Mytilus edulis: one gene and its partner. The protein of the gene in region 2 purifies or fractionates together with the protein of the main gene of each other region. This does not show direct contact. Links are inferred from orthologs where the notes say so. Each region holds a gene or a part of one and is shown on either strand. Other genes may lie near its edges.

Evidence for each region. Proteins that work in one complex are often made in the same cells at the same time.
Region 1: the proteins of exocyst complex component 5-like (region 2) and exocyst complex component 3-like purify together in Homo sapiens (affinity purification with mass spectrometry; 7 studies listed by BioGRID and IntAct, counting the BioPlex papers as one, with this or other methods). This does not show direct contact. The link is inferred for Mytilus edulis from reciprocal best matches to the Homo sapiens genes EXOC5 and EXOC3.

The regions. Positions count from the first base shown.
Region 1 is NC_092355.1:42,989,550-42,997,870, reverse strand, and holds the start of exocyst complex component 3-like, read left to right. Parts: upstream 1-4,691; 5' UTR 4,692-4,808; exon of another isoform or gene 4,809-4,824; intron 4,825-8,030; 5' UTR 8,031-8,041; coding exon 8,042-8,128; intron 8,129-8,321. Other genes in the region: glucocorticoid modulatory element-binding protein 1-like, read right to left, coding at 1,327-1,617, 2,468-2,569. UniProt on the Homo sapiens protein: Component of the exocyst complex involved in the docking of exocytic vesicles with fusion sites on the plasma membrane.
Region 2 is NC_092346.1:8,164,947-8,173,342, forward strand, and holds the start of exocyst complex component 5-like, read right to left. Parts: upstream 3,363-8,396; 5' UTR 3,271-3,362; coding exon 3,235-3,270; intron 811-3,234; coding exon 577-810; intron 1-576. UniProt on the Homo sapiens protein: Component of the exocyst complex involved in the docking of exocytic vesicles with fusion sites on the plasma membrane.

The sequences.
Region 1 (8,321 bases), on a different chromosome or scaffold from region 2:
ACTCCAGTATCAAATCCCGTGCTTACCAATCAATAGTGAGACCAAAACTCGAATATGCCTGTATTCTATGGGATCCACACACAGCAGATTATAAAAATAAGTTAGAAATGGTACAGAGGCGTGCGGCCCGATATGTATGTAACAATTACCACAACACCAGTAGCGTTACATCCATGTTAAACGAACTACAATGGCCCTCACTCAGTGAGCGCCGCCTCAAAACCAGACTTATCATGTTCTACAAGGTCATTCATGGACTCATTGCAATCCCATCACTAGTCCTCATACCATCAGATACTAGAACAAGAAAATTACATACTCAAACATTTCGGCAAATATCCACCTCTAAAGACAGCTACAAATGGTCATTCTTTCCGCAAACAATCATTCAATGGAACATGTTGCCACAAGTTGTGGTAGCAAGTCAAACCATTGAAATTTACAGAGATCAGTTGACACCAACTGTTCTCCACAACATAATTTAATTCTATAAATAACAATGTACATATTTTTTAATCACTTGTTGTTTTCTTTCATGTAAATATCACCAAGTATTCTACTAAGTTAAAGATAAATTTTTGTTCATATTTTTTAATCATATACTCCGCGCATGCAACAGTTCGTAATCTTCAATAATAATGAAGCTGTAACTGTATATCAGAAGAAGAAGAAGAAGATGCATGACCTCTATATAAATATGCATGGGTCTTGAAGTTGACCAATTTTGCTAACTTATCGACTTGTAGGAGTCAATTTTTGCAACTTTTTAATTAAGGTAAAATATTTCTTTCTAAACACTAATGGACTTATTGAAGTCATAAATTGTCTTAAATTAAAGGGAGACAAATCGTTGAATCTACAAATTAAGACCTCTACAAGTCAAAAGCAGATTCAGACTTATCTATGTCTGAGCTCTGACTGTTACAAAATATGCATAGCAATAGAAAGTAAAATAAAGGCAAGGCCAAATAAAAATATATGTGTGGTTCTAGTAACCCTACCGTCCCTACTTTTTCGGCTTAAAAATAGCCTACCCTAAAGATTTTATTGTCATTTTTCATTAAGTACTGTTAAAGTCAGAATGTTGCTCCCATAGACTCAATGTAAAAAAAAAAACATAAAATAAAAAAAAAATCCCTACCTACCTACCCTAACTTTTTTTCAGATGTAACTGGAACCACACATACTTTTTTATTTAGCCCAAGACAGTTTTTAACCAATCAACATGAGCAAAGAGCATTCTTTAGAACTTTCACAGCTTCTTGTGGCAAAATAAAATCAAAAGAAATACCAAAATATCTTATCTTGCTGATAGGAACAACTTACATCAAGAAGTTTATCTTTCCTTGGCCTTCTCCGTGTTTTATTGTTTGCTGTTGGAGATATTCTTTTAGAAGATTTTGAGAGTAAGGCTTCATGACGATAGTCCAATTTTAGTTTCTGATCTTCGTGGGAGAGGAAACCTTCATGAGACATGTCTTCCATGGGATCATATTCTGTAGTTTCATACTGAAGGTCATCATCAATAACTTCTTGTTTTATATGTGTTGTCATTGGAGTATTGTGAATTAAATCACTTTCTCCTGGGTGTCCTTCGTCCGTTTCATATTCTGGGCACTGTAAGAAAAAGGCGTATTTATGATTACTTGCGTTTTTTGGCAAAATCTTTCAAAATTTGTGTCCTCGATTTCATAAATGCTCTGTAACTTTGATCTCTATTTGAAATTTAAACTTTTTTTTTCATACTTGAGTCTTATTGATGAGTCTTATGTTCAGTTAACAATTCACATGACAAGCATACAAAATATTAATCCTGGTATCTATGAAATTATTGCTTACAGCAGGGCAATAACATTGCATTGGCTTTGATAAGAAAAGAAACTTTCTGAATATAAAAATATTAAAATATGGTATGTCAATTAAAAAAGATTAAACCAATGAACAATACAATATATATCCAGATATTCGAGACAGAGAATATACATGTAAGCATGGTGACAGGCATACATGCATTGTTTCCCATATCATATAAAAGAGAAGATGTGGTATGATTGCCAATGAGACAACTCTCTGTAAGGGACCAAATGAAATAGGAATTAACAACTATAGGTAACTGTACGACCTTCAACAATGAGCAAAGCTCATACCGCATAGACTTTGATATATCTCTTTCGATTTGAATCATATTACAATAATTATAGTAGAGGTAATTTGATAAAATATACAAGTATTTTTTTGAGAAAATTAAAGGAAGATTATTCAAACATTATAATTCACTTATACATGTTATATGAGTTTATTCTATTTACTTCTTCAAGTAAATAAAAATTACTTGTACAAGTACTTGAAATAGTACCCCTGACTGTCCTATAAAGTGTTGTACAAATAATTTAGTTTTTTCCTGCATATACAATGTATCTACATGTATGCTCAAGTGACATCAATATGATCTGTAGTCAGTACCTACCAATGATCCAGGTGAGTCTGGTCCTTCAATGCCAGCATTTCCATTACTTTCAAAATCATCTTGATCTAAAGTTTTAGAATCATTAGTATCACTGTCTTCCATCTAGATAAAAATATCAAACATATACATGATTATGCAAGAACTTATAACTCATTACATTGATTGTAATCATGGTAATATAACCACCATAATTTCAGATCAAACAAATTAAAATGAATTTTTGATATACATGTATTCACTGTCTTTAAATAGCATTACTTTTAAACCTTATTAAGAGAACCACAAAGTTTTGAAAAATCTTAAATTATTCTCAGAAAAAATATTTGCTAAACACAAGCAAGGTAACATATTTTCACTTTATGGTTTTCAAAATTTTCTTAGTAGACCCAAGGATTTGTATAGTAACTTACTATACAAATCCTTGGTAGACCTACATTAACAGATTAAGGCATTTTTTTTTACATACATCCCTACCTACTCTACATTGATTTTTTTTTTGTGAAGCACTGTTAACTTGATTAATGTTCAAATAAACATAAAAAGTCAATGTAAAGTGAATGGTTTTTTTTCTTGTTAAACAAATTGATAATTTCCCCATAGATCAATGTTTACATTTTGTTTTGAAGAAATAATTTTAATTAATTTAGCTTAATGTAGTATATATAACGTTACGGTACCCAAATTGCACCTATTTATCAAAAGTAGCAGCAAAAATCTAACAAGATTTCCTAGAGACTAAAAAAATGGTATTTTTATGATTTGATACTATGCACGTCTTTCAACATAGGTAAAAATATTTAGATATACACAAAACGTTCACAATATTTATCAACAGATGAAGTGTTTACTGAAAAAGCAAAATGTACTGAAACGTCGCCATGCGACGTCATCAAAACGTCATCTTTTTAAAATTAACAAATACAATACGTTTCAAGTATCCATTTCTTAAAAAATGAAGAGTAAGCATGAACAAATATCCAATTGTTCAAAATATTTGAAAAAAATAAACAAAAGCTCTGTTATTCGACTTTTTACGATGCGAATTTAAGCATGGATGCAATTTGGGTACTCCTCATTACAGAATCTGGGATGGTTTGGAGGTAAGTTCAGACCAATTTTTCTATGATTCCTTATGGATTGAAAATCAAATTGGTGTACCTTTATAATAAAGAAGGATACGGCTACAAAATAAACACAAAATGGAAATTTTTGTTTTGATCATAAAAAAACTTAGTTGAAAAAACTGTCAAAATAGGTGCAATTTGGGTACCGTCACGTTATTTATATATATGTGTGTGTGTTAACTGTGCTTATATATTTTTCAGCCAGATTGGCAGCCAGCACAAATTTATTGTTGAAAAAAAAAATCACCTGGTAAATACATGTGTATAAAAAAAACCAAAAAAAACGTTATTTTGTCAATATTGTCTATTGTGCTCTTTCCAATAAAATATTGAATTGAATATTGCCAGGCGGCAGGAATTAAGCGTATATTTTTTGGCCTGAATATCATTGAAAAAAAAAAATTATGATGAAAAGGAATTAAATTGGTACTCCAGTTTATTTTTCAACTATAGTTGATATTACAAATGTAACTTGACCACTGGCTATAACACATACATGTAGTGCAATATTTTTTATATTGTACAAACTTTTGATAATGATTAAACAATGAAGTTTATAACAGTTATATTATTAAATAAAATAAACAACATAATCATAATGATTTGTAGTTTATGAAATATCAAGTCAATACATTGTCATATAACACAAATAGAATGACATTGTCATGAAATGATTACTATGTATATTTTTATTTACTATGTATTTTTTTATTTACATTGTACATGGGTAACACATATCTGGAGACCGATAAAAAGTCATTAAAATTACAGAGTTTTTGAAAATTGCAAATAAAATGACGTTTCACGCAAAACTGGCAGCGGATCGCCTCACGTTTCACTCCCACATAAAGGTGGAACCGCCATGATGTTCAATATTTTCTTCCTCGTTCAACAAACCTGTGAACGTCTACCCGAGAGGATTTCTTACCACAAAATGTAAACAAAATAAGTTCGTTCCCTCTTAAAATGATACTTCTCTATCCAAACTAGCTAATAACAACTTCAACAATTACCTTTGGAATGTAATGGCACGCTTTTCCTATGACGTCAACGTACGTTACTTGGTGCACACGTAATTCACGTGGACTCTCGTAGTGTGCGAGATTTTACGCGACACTGACGGAAAACGGAAGTGGGAAGTTCATGATGTAAACAAATGCCCACTTGAAAGTTTTCACGTTTATATTAATCTATTGAAAGAAAAGGCATAGATAGTGGTAAATTGAATATTTCTATTGTTTATTGACCGTAGTAATTATCGTATACAAAATACTTTAGTCACTTTAAAGCCAAAGGGAAAGCGTTGCCGTAGAGTCATTGGTTAACGCCAAAATTTATTTCTACAACGGGCACAAACACCAGGTAGCAGTCGTGTTGTCATGTTTTTTGGGGGCAAAACCCAGTTTTTTTTTAATGAACAAGCTCTACTGCATCATGTTTTTTTATTGTTTAATATTTGTGAGGACCTTTTGACAAAAATGTACTTTTTTCATTGTTTTTACACCACAAGTTTAACATGTTTACAGTTTGTTCGAAAGTAAAGTCTAAATAATTTATGACACAAAGCATTGTCAATGACAAACCTAGTCCAAATAATTATGATGTCTAAGTTGTCTGGCAATGATCTTTTTTTTTGGGGGGGGGGGGGGTTGCTTTCTGGGACGCCAAAAAATAAAATAGCCTTGCCAGATGTCATAATTATTTTGACTAAGACAAACCATGAATTTGGCGGGTGGGCCGGTCTTTTCACCACCAAACACCACAGAACACCGCCGAACACCCCAAAAACCACCAACCACTAAGAAAAACTGATATTATCATGATTATACAATAAAACGATAAATAATTTAAATTACAATGTACGTACATGTATATTTTAATCAATTTTTAGATTTTTATGGGCATCATAATTTATGTTAAAAATCGATAATCAATATAAGGAAAAAACGTCTCAGGATTCATCCCTTTTTGGATAACACAGTCTGGGGACTTACTGAAATAAGTGATTTTTAAATCACTTATTTGAGTAGCAAATTCAATGTTTTGTCACAAATTGGGATTTTGTAGTTTTTTCAAAATTTTAAACAAATAGGTTTAAATAATATCTTTCAATTAGTAAAATTAAAGAATATGAATTTTTTGGTACTTAAAAAGTAGCAAGGTTTATGCCTTTGATGCTATCATTTAACTGAAAATTCTATTTTAGTTGAAAAAATGCTATAATAATGGCTTTCCATAATGAACTGATACTTTCTTAAAAGATTTTTCACAGCAGTGGGAGTATTTTTCCTGTGAAGTTCAAGGTTTCATCTTTCAGATTATGTAATAAAATTCTACTGTTCGACGATAAAAATTTCACTGTTCGGGGGGTGTTGAAATTAGTGGGGGGTTGTTAACAGAATGATACATTATAAAGAAGTGATTTTTGGGGAAATTGAGGTCTGATACTTAAACAAGTGATTTTTATGTCATTATCCTAGATTCAGTACAAGGTCATCACCTGAAATGACCTGGTCATCCTAGACAACACAGATGTTGGTTCTGATAAGTTTAGAAACATAATTAGTCCCTGGATCATTAGTATTCAGAATAATATAAACGTGTAAACACAATTTAAACAATGTTAAAGTAATAGAATACAATTCCATATGTCTAAAACAAGATGCATTTGATAATTATTTCTCTAATATTCTATAGAAATTTATCCGTTTCCGAACCCATTGTATAAAACAATTTAATCAACATGTGGTTTCTGGTGATCTCAAAAGATCATTGGATGATTCTAAGGGTCATATCCTCTTTAGCTAACTGGATAAATCAAAATATGCTAACTGGTGTTAATGAAATTGACAACTTCATGGAATGTGAAAGGCACTCAAAGGGGATTTTCGTTTAACAAAAAAAGAAAATTTATTTTTTAATCATTAGCTATATAGAGAAACAGATTCTTACATAGTTACTCATGGATTATCGGATTTATCCAATCTTGATAGTTAAATTATGAATTATAAAATTGATAATTTAACTATCTCGATTGGATAAATCCGATAATCCACTCGTATCAATGTAAGAATCTATATATATATATATCCATTCAGAAAACTGGATTTATCTTTATCGTTTGCTACTTCTACTGTTGCACCTGAAATAAGATAAAACATATTTCAGGTCTTCATAAATACATGTACATGTAGCTTAAAACTAAAATTAAGTGTTATATGTATGATGAATACATTTATTTGAATTAATGATAATCCATGCGATATATATAAATAGATAATCTATTTTATTTAGGATCATTAATGCTAAGAACTTAAAATGTTTATATATATTGTTTCTGTTTTTGTCACTTGTTTGTAATGCCTCTTTAATTTGATTCTCATCTAAAAAAAAATTTGTATATTACATTATAACATTATCTTGGATCATCTCAATGAGATTGATTTTCTCCCTTGAGCCGGTACAGCGAAAGTGAGAAAAGCAATTGAGTTTAGATGACCAATGATATTCTGTTTATATTATAGCAACGCCATGTGCCCCCTTAGTTTCTAGCGATAATTTATCACTTCACTGAGAAAGGAAATTATAAGTCAGCAAGATCAAAGACCTGGAGATACTTGTCATATGATTTGTTTTATTAAAATTTGTTGTTGTCAGGTTAAAAACAAGAATAAGTATTTCATAGTAATTAAACCACAGGGTCAACTTCAAATAACCATGAGTCCATGATGGCTGTAAAAATATCATGCAGCTTCAAGCCTTGTATGTATTTAATTCAATGATTCTGATAGTACAACCTATTTATAAAATCTTTTCCCTCACTTGAAGTAATTCTCATGTTATCAGTAGTTACAACAAATGCATAAATTAGATATAATACAAACATATGTTGTTATGTAATTTTAATTCAGTACAAATCATTGAAATGTAACTACACGTCAGAACCTCTATAGATTGAATGATTGTAGTTGCTATTTTTAGAACCTATATAACTATTTAACATGTACATGTATATGTATGAATAGATATGTATTTACTTAAACATATACAACAAATGTACAATGTATACATATACATAAATCAACTTTGGTAGAGAATTGTTACATTTGCAATCAATACCACATCTTTTTATTTTTAAAAATCTTTCAAATTTATTTTCAATTTGGTCTATATACATATTATAAGAAGATATGGAAGGAGTTCCAATGAAACAACTCTCCATCCAAGTCACAATTAGTAAAAGAAAAATCATCACAAGTCAAAGTAGGCTCTTCAACACGGAGCATTGGCTCTTTCCAAACAGCAAGCTATGAAGGGTCCCAAAATTGTCTAGTGTAAAACTATTCAAACAGGAAAAAACAAAGACCTAATCTATCATGTCTATATAAAAAACGAAAAACACTTATTGATAATTTAATATATATAAATTCTATTTTCAGGTCTCTTCAAAATGAGTTTACCAGCGCCATTAGATCTGGGACGAATGGAAGCAGAGGCTAAAGAAAATGCCTCTAAACATATATCTAATCTGCTTCAGGTTTGTGCTTAACATTGGGCTGAAACAACACTTATATTTTTACATGCAACAACACTTATATTTTTACATGCATCTGTTATGTATTCTTACATATATCTACCTTTCTTACACATTGTACAAAGGACAACTTTTCAAATTTGATGCATTTCCGTCAAAAACTTTGGTTTTAGTGAACATCATTCATGCGTTTAGG
Region 2 (8,396 bases):
TCTAATGGATGAAGAGTTGTCTCATTGGCAGTCATACCACATCTTCTTGTATCTAATGGATGAAGAGTTGCCTCATTGGCAGTCATACCACATCTTCTTGTATCTAATGGATGAAGAGTTGCCTCATTGGCAGTCATACCACATCTTCTTGTATCTAATGGATGAAGAGTTGTCTCATTGGCAGTCATACCACATCTTCTTGTATCTAATGGATGAAGAGTTGTCTCATTGGCAGTCATACCACATCTTCTTGTATCTAATGGATGAAGAGTTGTCTCATTGGCAGTCATACCACATCTTCTTGTATCTAATGGATGAAGAGTTGTCTCATTGGCAGTCATACCACATCTTCTTGTATCTAATGGATGAAGAGTTGCCTCATTGGCAGTCATACCACATCTTCTTGTATCTAATGGATGAAGAGTTGTCTCATTGGCAGTCATACCACATCTTCTTGTATCTAATGGATGAAGAGTTGTCTCATTGGCAGTCATACCACATCTTCTTGTATCTAATGGATGAAGAGTTGCCTCATTGGCAGTCATACCACATCTTTTTATAGTTATAAATACTAACCTGGTTTTTCTTTTGAAGTTCAGCTACTCTTTGCCAATGACGTTTTTCCTCGTCTTTACAATTTTCTTCTAATTTTTCAATTTTCTTTTCTATTTGTGCATTTTTTCCCTCCAGATCTTTAATCATCTTTTCAAAAGCTGTATGTAGAAGCATTGGGTTGAACTGTGCCTGGTCTCTATTGTGAATTGTTCTCCATGCTATTCTCTCGACAAATTCATGAGCATCAAATGGCTCCTTCAAAAATATTAAACATTCCATTTAGAATTCTTAAGAACATGCTCTTATATTATTAATAATGATAATTATAATGAAAAGAGGATGACTAAATTAGCATTCACTTGTCTACCTTGAGGCCATCACACTAAACACACAGAATAAGTAGCACAAATATTATAACTTCTTGAACATATAATTCAACTTTCATGCTAAATGTTTGTCTGTAGAATAAGAAACATATAATAATACATTATACACAAACATTAAAAAAACATTGGAGAGTTAGAAAGTTCTTCTTTTAAAAGTATTAAGATGTTTATATAGTTTTATTTCATTTAGTAGTTTATTCCAAATTATTGAGAGGTTATAATTACAGTACAAAATGTATATGTGAATGCATGATATTTTTTCATTTCACAGTCAAACCAGCATTAAGTGTTTACTACAGTGACAGAGAGGTTCTAAGTAAGAAGCAGACTAAAAAAATGTCACAATATTATGATTTTTGGTTGTCAGTTTTTAAATTGTGAAGAAATAAGTATCTCTTTTGTTCAAGATGTTTTAGTTCAACCTGCTTGTACATGTTGTAGGAAAACATAATCTTGGTCATTTAGTGCTTGCAATTATGTATATAGTTAGAGGTCCTATTGGGGCCTCGATAGGTCAAGGTTGACCCTACTTTCACATGGAAATCAATCTTCTGAAAGTGAAATCTCTTTGGTTTTGTCTGTTCCTACCGAGCAGCCTAGTGGTTCTCTCCAAATATTTTGGCTTCCTCCAACATAATAAAAGACTGCCTGGTGTCCTATCCCTCTCTTTGTGTTAGGGCGGGGATTGTCCTTGTCAATATTGTTGTAAATACATTAGTGGCATATCTTCTTTAATCCTGATTGGGAGTGTACATGGATTCCACTGTACTCTTGCAGCTCTTGAGGGGTGCTCCGAATAAGAGGGGTCTACGCACATACACAAAAGGTGCCTTTCAAAATATAATATTGAACAACCATTTTGTATGCATATAAAGATTATTAAATGAAAGAATTTTTATATGGAGTTGTAGGTGAAATACCACCTAATCTTGGTACATCACATCCAGTTGCAGACCAAAAAACATTCCCTTGATTTGACAGTTGTAGGAAATTAATGCTACATTTTATTGCAGTAATAAAATATGAGTCATAAACATAATTATACATGAATCTTGGGTGTTTCAAAGCACCATTCTTTTTTCATTTGGTGCTTCTATAAATATTTTGGAAACTTGGTAAAATCAAACATGGTACATGTAAGTAAGTACATGTACATGTAGCTTGTAAACAAGACAGAAAGGGTGAAAATTTGATTGTTTAACTTCCAAAGATGGTTATTATCTTATTTATGCAATGAAATGTTGTAGCATTGGACAGAATAAAAATTTACTCATGCCAAGTATTTCTTTATTTGAAACAAAGATAAATTATGCACTCTTAAAGTCTATATTGAAAAGTGCAAACTTAACACAAACAGAGACAAAGGGGAAAGAATATGTGGGTTAGTGGTCTAGTGTTGAAGACTGATGACTACAGTGCTGAAAGTCCCAGGGACGATTCTGACTCTGGGCGCTGGAAATTTCAGTACATCACAAGGATGATTTTTACCCTCCCACACTTCTCAGATCGTAATAAAAACTAGAATGGGTATTTTTGGGGCTCCCTTCTCTGACCTGGAGATCAATCTTCTCAAGTTCTGATATCTCTCTGCTTTGTCTGTTTCCGCCAAGTAGCCTGGTGGTCCTCTCCGAGACATTCTGCTACCTCTACCATAACAACAATTACAGACTTCCCGATGTCCTAGCACTCCCTTTGTCATGTTTTTGTTGGGATGGGGATTGTCCTTTTAAAACAATAACATGTCATAAATATAACATCCCTATTAATCCCAATAGAGAGTGTACATGAATTCCACCCACAGCTCTCAATGCCAATGGGTTATTCGGATAACGGAGGAATTTACAGGTACTTTCATACAAGACATAACACATTAGGGTATCACATCTGTAAGCTTTCCTATGAGATTTATCTATAAAACATTACAACAGCGATGCAAAAGGTGTCTGAAATTGACTAATTTACCAGAAGGTATATCATGTCAGTGAAGAGAGAAAATTTCTATGAATAATTTGCAGCCTTCAGTTGTCACGCCCAGTCTGTCAATAACTCATTGTCTGTTAGCTGGCTATAATTCTGGACATATGAAGCAGCTGTTGTGTTATAGACAGACTAGATCAGTATCGGCTTAAAGTGTCAATCTTCAAAAGAGGAAGTTAGTTTGGAAAGATGAAGCAGACGATTAAAATATTTTGCTCCAACATCACTTTTGAATCGTGTCAGAGGCTCACATTTTCGTCCTATTTAAAATCACGAGTCTAAATATCACAAATTATACTTATGCTTTTCTTGATACCTGTTCGAGTTCTTCTAAGGACACTTGATGAGACATATCGATGTACTTTTTCCAACTTTTTCAGTGCCCAAGGGAAATAACTCTAATCAGATATAATAAATTTAGGACGCATATATCGGACTGAAGACGAAGTATTTCCGGATTTTTATATTCCTCAAAACTTTATTATTAAAATTGTTGACATGTGAGTAAAAAAAAAAAGATATGTCTACTAATACCTTATTATTCCACGACTGAATGACTACTATAACTGTTACACATACTGTTTGTCCGCCCTCGTCGTCGTCGTATGTTAACTTTTACAAAAATCTTCTCCTCTAAAAGTTTAACTACTGGTCCAAATTTAACCAAACTTGGCCACAATCATCAACGATCTTATTCTCATGAAATGCTGAGCAAAACAATCAAACTAGACTTGCAATAAGTTTCCACATTGGTTCTGATGAAAGTCTTACTTTTTCAAAAATTTATTTGGGTATTTTTAAAGTAAATCAAGTCATCCGGGGCTCCTGGAAGCCTCTAGTTATTTCTTCAACGGTTTAATACATCTATGATGTCTGCCATGTCATTAATCATTTTTTTTTAAACAGATATTTACCAAATGTTGTGTGCAATTTCTTTTACACTAATTTCTATTTTATAAAAAAATGTGTGGACACAGATCAATGTGGATAGTAATTGCTAATTTTTTGTTGGTGTTATGATCATCGAGTTTATGAATTAGTTGTCCCCCTCCAGATATTGTATGCACTACATGTGTATTTCTTTGTCTTATCATAGGGTTCTTTGTTAAACTGCATTGAACTCAGGTAGTTTGCCTTATCAGCTGCAATTCTTATTAAAAGTTGGAACTATATATCGATATATATAAAATTAATTGTCACTTTTCAGGACATCTTATATAATTTCCCCAATTATCTTTTTACATATAGAATAATGTTTAGTGTCAACCACGTTTGATAGCTATTAGAATCATCTTCTACAAAATGCAAAGGAGATTTATGAATCATTTACTCAAAATGTCCCAGGCTCTGCTTTTGTGGGTGTAGCAACATTTGTTAATCAGCATGAACATTTTTCCAAATTTTCAAACATGACACACAAAGGATTGTGTGGGATAGATGAGTTTCAAGTGGTTACAGAAATCAAGCATGTTTTATTGGTTTTTTTTCAAGTTTACCTCAAATAAGTATAGGATGAAATATTTTGTCCTGCATTATTTAAGTTGTAATCTCCGTCCTTCTTTTGTATTTTTCACTTTATTTGGTCCTGTGTTTTTTTATTAGTTTACCAGTATCGATCCTGACTTTTTTTACTTAAATTGCTATCCTGACTTTTTTTTTACATAAATTGCTATCCTGACTTTTTTTTTACATAAATTGCTATCCTGAGTTTTTTTTTGCACAGTTGCTCATCCTGTCCTTGCTTACTCAAACCTCCTGTCCTGCATTTTTCAGTATCATCCTGCCCTCCCCTTAAATCAAATGGTAGCTCCCTTACTATTCACTGGGACGTTTCAATAATGCAAAACATGTACAATTAACCATGCTATCAGAATCTTGATAAGGTCAGAGCTGAAGTTAAAATTTCCAAATGCAAAGAAACCAAACTCAAAACAACTAAAGACATAAGAATACCCAATCCACATTATTTTATAGCAATACCCCAGTTCTAGTCAATGATATTAAAACAATATAGGAAAGTAAAATTGACCAAGTTCAATAGAGCATATGGGAACTTAAATAATAAAATGAGAATGCACAAACGTAAATGGCTGTCCCTGCTTTACTGATCATGGATGAAGATTTAACTACTAGTATCAGTAACATTTAATTCTATGGATGATTCAGGTTAATGAGGTCAAATTCAGAAGAACCTTGCCAGCAAACATGTTAATTTTAAACTTCACAATTTTTAATTACACCAAATTGCTTATTATACCTGAGATCCAGACACAACCACTAAAACTGAACATTCACCAACAAATACTGCAAAATGGAACCAGTTTGTATGAACCTTACCAGGTCTTACCAATCAGGTTAGGAATCTGGTGTACAGTAGTTGTCATTTGTTATTTGTGTTTCTCTTTTTTATATAGATTAGACCCGTTTGAATGGTTTTACACTAGTTATTTTGGGGCCCTTTGTAGCTTGTTGTTCTGTGTGAGCCAAAGCTCTGCGTTGAAGGCTGTACCTTGACCTATTATGGTTTACTTTTATACATTGTTATTTGGATGGAGAGTTGTCTCATAGGCACTCATACCAAATCTTCCTATATCTATGGATATCTGTCCATATGCCACATAAAGTTGACCTATTTAACCTATTGCTTTAAGTATCTGAGATATGGACTTTACTTTTATATCTAACCTTGAATACTGTTCTTTAAAATGAGGCCAAGTTCAGGTTAACACTGTCTGACAGACATTTAGTCTTTGCAAAGGCATCCTCATACCAAACAAAGTTATCAAGTAAGAAATTCATGTGATAAAGAAAACTAAAGTTTTTTTCATTTCAGTCACTTAATAATAAAAATTTGTAAGGGTTCCGCGGAACCCAGTGTCTCGCCTATTTTTTGCTGTAAATCGCAGGCTCAACAACAATGAGGAAAAAAATCAATAAAAATATTCCTCTTCTTACTATTTTATGATTGTAAGAAAATCTAAGTCCATTTAAAAGTAAATTACAGAAAAATTTAAGTAATTTTTTACAAACTTTTAAATACTTCTGGATACAATCTTATGATCATAAATAAGCTTCTGCTCATGTTTGGTACAAACCCAGGATAGTTTAAGAAAGTTATTAAAATTTTAAAAACTTTAACCACAGAGTGAATGTAATGGTTCCCCGCAGAAAAACTAAGTCCATTTAAAACTAAAATATGGAAAAATGGATTTATTTATTTACAAAATTTACTTCTGGATACTATCTTATGATCATAAACAAGCTGCTATTTAAGTTTGGTACAAACCCAAGATAGTTTCAGAAAGTTATTAAAATTCTAAAAACTTTAACCACAGAGTGAATGTTTTGTTTCCCCGCAGAAAAAACTAAGTCCATTTATAGTAAAATACGGAAAAAATGGAATTTCATTTTTACAAAATTTACTTCTGGATACTATCTTATGATCATAAAAAAGCTTCTGTCCAAGTTTGGTACAAACCCAGGATAGTTTAAGAAAGTTATTAAAATTCTAAAAACTTTAACCACAGAGTGAATGTTTTGTTTCCCCGCAGAAAAAAACTAAGTCCATTTATAGTAAAATACGGAAAAAATGGAATTTTATTTTTACAAAATTTACTTCTGGATACTATCTTATGATCATAAACAAGCTTCTGTCCAAGTTTGGTACAAACCCAGGATAGTTTAAGAAAGTTATTAAAATTCTAAAAACTTTAACCACAGAGTGAATGTTTTGTTTCCCCGCAGAAAAAACTAAGTCCATTTATAGTAAAATACGGAAAAAATGGAATTTTATTTTTACAAAATTTACTTCTGAATACTATCTTATGATCATAAACAAGCTTCTGTCAAAGTTTAGTAGAAATCCAGTATAGTTTAAGAAAGTTATTAAAATTTCAAAAACTTTAACCACAGAGTGAATATTTGTTGACGCTGACAACGACGGAATGTAGGATCGCTTAGTCTCGCTTTTTCGACTTAAGTCGAAGGCTCGACAAAAATGAGATCAAAGGCAACAGACATATAGCAAACAAAAACTTCATAATATAGGACACTTGTATACAAGATATAAAGTATCTAGGTCTATTTCATTCTGAAATAGAACACTTTATACTATAAATACTTTATCTAGTACATGTAGTCACATGTTTGAATACCCTTTTGTGGGCTTGGGCTGTTTTCTGCTCTGGTCCGGTTGTTGTCTCTTTAATAACAGTTAGGGCCATGTTTACCTGCCTTAAATCAAACACAAACCTTCATATTTAGGTATGGAATATTGTGATACAACTTCATTGAGATCCATTCACTGACATACAAGTTATTGTCTGGATACCAAATGTCTTTGGATGAAGACGACAATGTCATACCATAGTCTATTTTTTCTGCAACTTCAATATGACCTAGATGAAGGACTAAGAAGTTGTTTTACAGTTTCTTTTATTACATATTCTGACATCAGACTGATTTTTTTAAGCTGATGTGCATTTTGGTGTGTGTTTGTTTTTTCTAGATTGGCTACAGCTATTGGCGAAGGGTTGAGATCTCACTAAACAGGTTTAACCCAGTCACAATTTTGCATGTCCCAAGCCAGGAGACTCTGGCGTTTGTTAGTCTTGTATGATTTTTAATCTAAATTCATTTATATGTTAAGCATGACATCCTTTTTCTCTAGTACACATTTCAGTTTTAGTGGCCAGCTGAAGTCCACCTAGAAAGAGATTTTCTCGTCATGTTTGAAGACCCTTTCGTGGGGTTGGGCAGTTTTCTGCTCTAGTTGGGTTGTTGTCTCTTTGACATGTTCCCATTTCCATTCTCAATTTTAATTACTACCGGTAGTTATACATAGTATAAAAAAGAAGATGTGGTATGATTGCCAATGAGACAACTATCCACAAAAGACAAAAATGACACAGACATTAACAACTATAGGTCATAGCATTGTTTTTAGCCCCAATTCCTAAACAGTTATGACCATGCTAACCCCTAAAATCAATCACAGATCTTCCTTTTTAGGTATGGAACCTTGTGGTACAATTTCATTCAGATCCATTAACTTACGGAAGTTATTGTCTTAGGATGACGACAACATTGCTCTACCATCTTGCCTGCGGTTATATTTACAAAACATAATCCATTTTTTCTACAACTTTAACATGACCTGGATAAAGGACTACACAGTTGGTTTACAAAATCAAACTGAATCATTTGAACACAGACCAACCATTACAAGAAACATTCAGTAAAAAAAATGTCCCATATAACAAAACAGAAAAATAAACAGAAAGATTTTTTTATTGAAAATAGACCTATAAAATGTTCATTTGTATATAAATGTGAAGTGACAATATAAAAGCAAGCATGATAATCTCTTATATTAAAGATTACAAAAGGCTATAACAGATCATTAATCATATTTCAAAGAGATTTCTTCCTGACAATAAAAAAGTGTATAAAATTACAATGTAATTTAAAAAAAAAAAA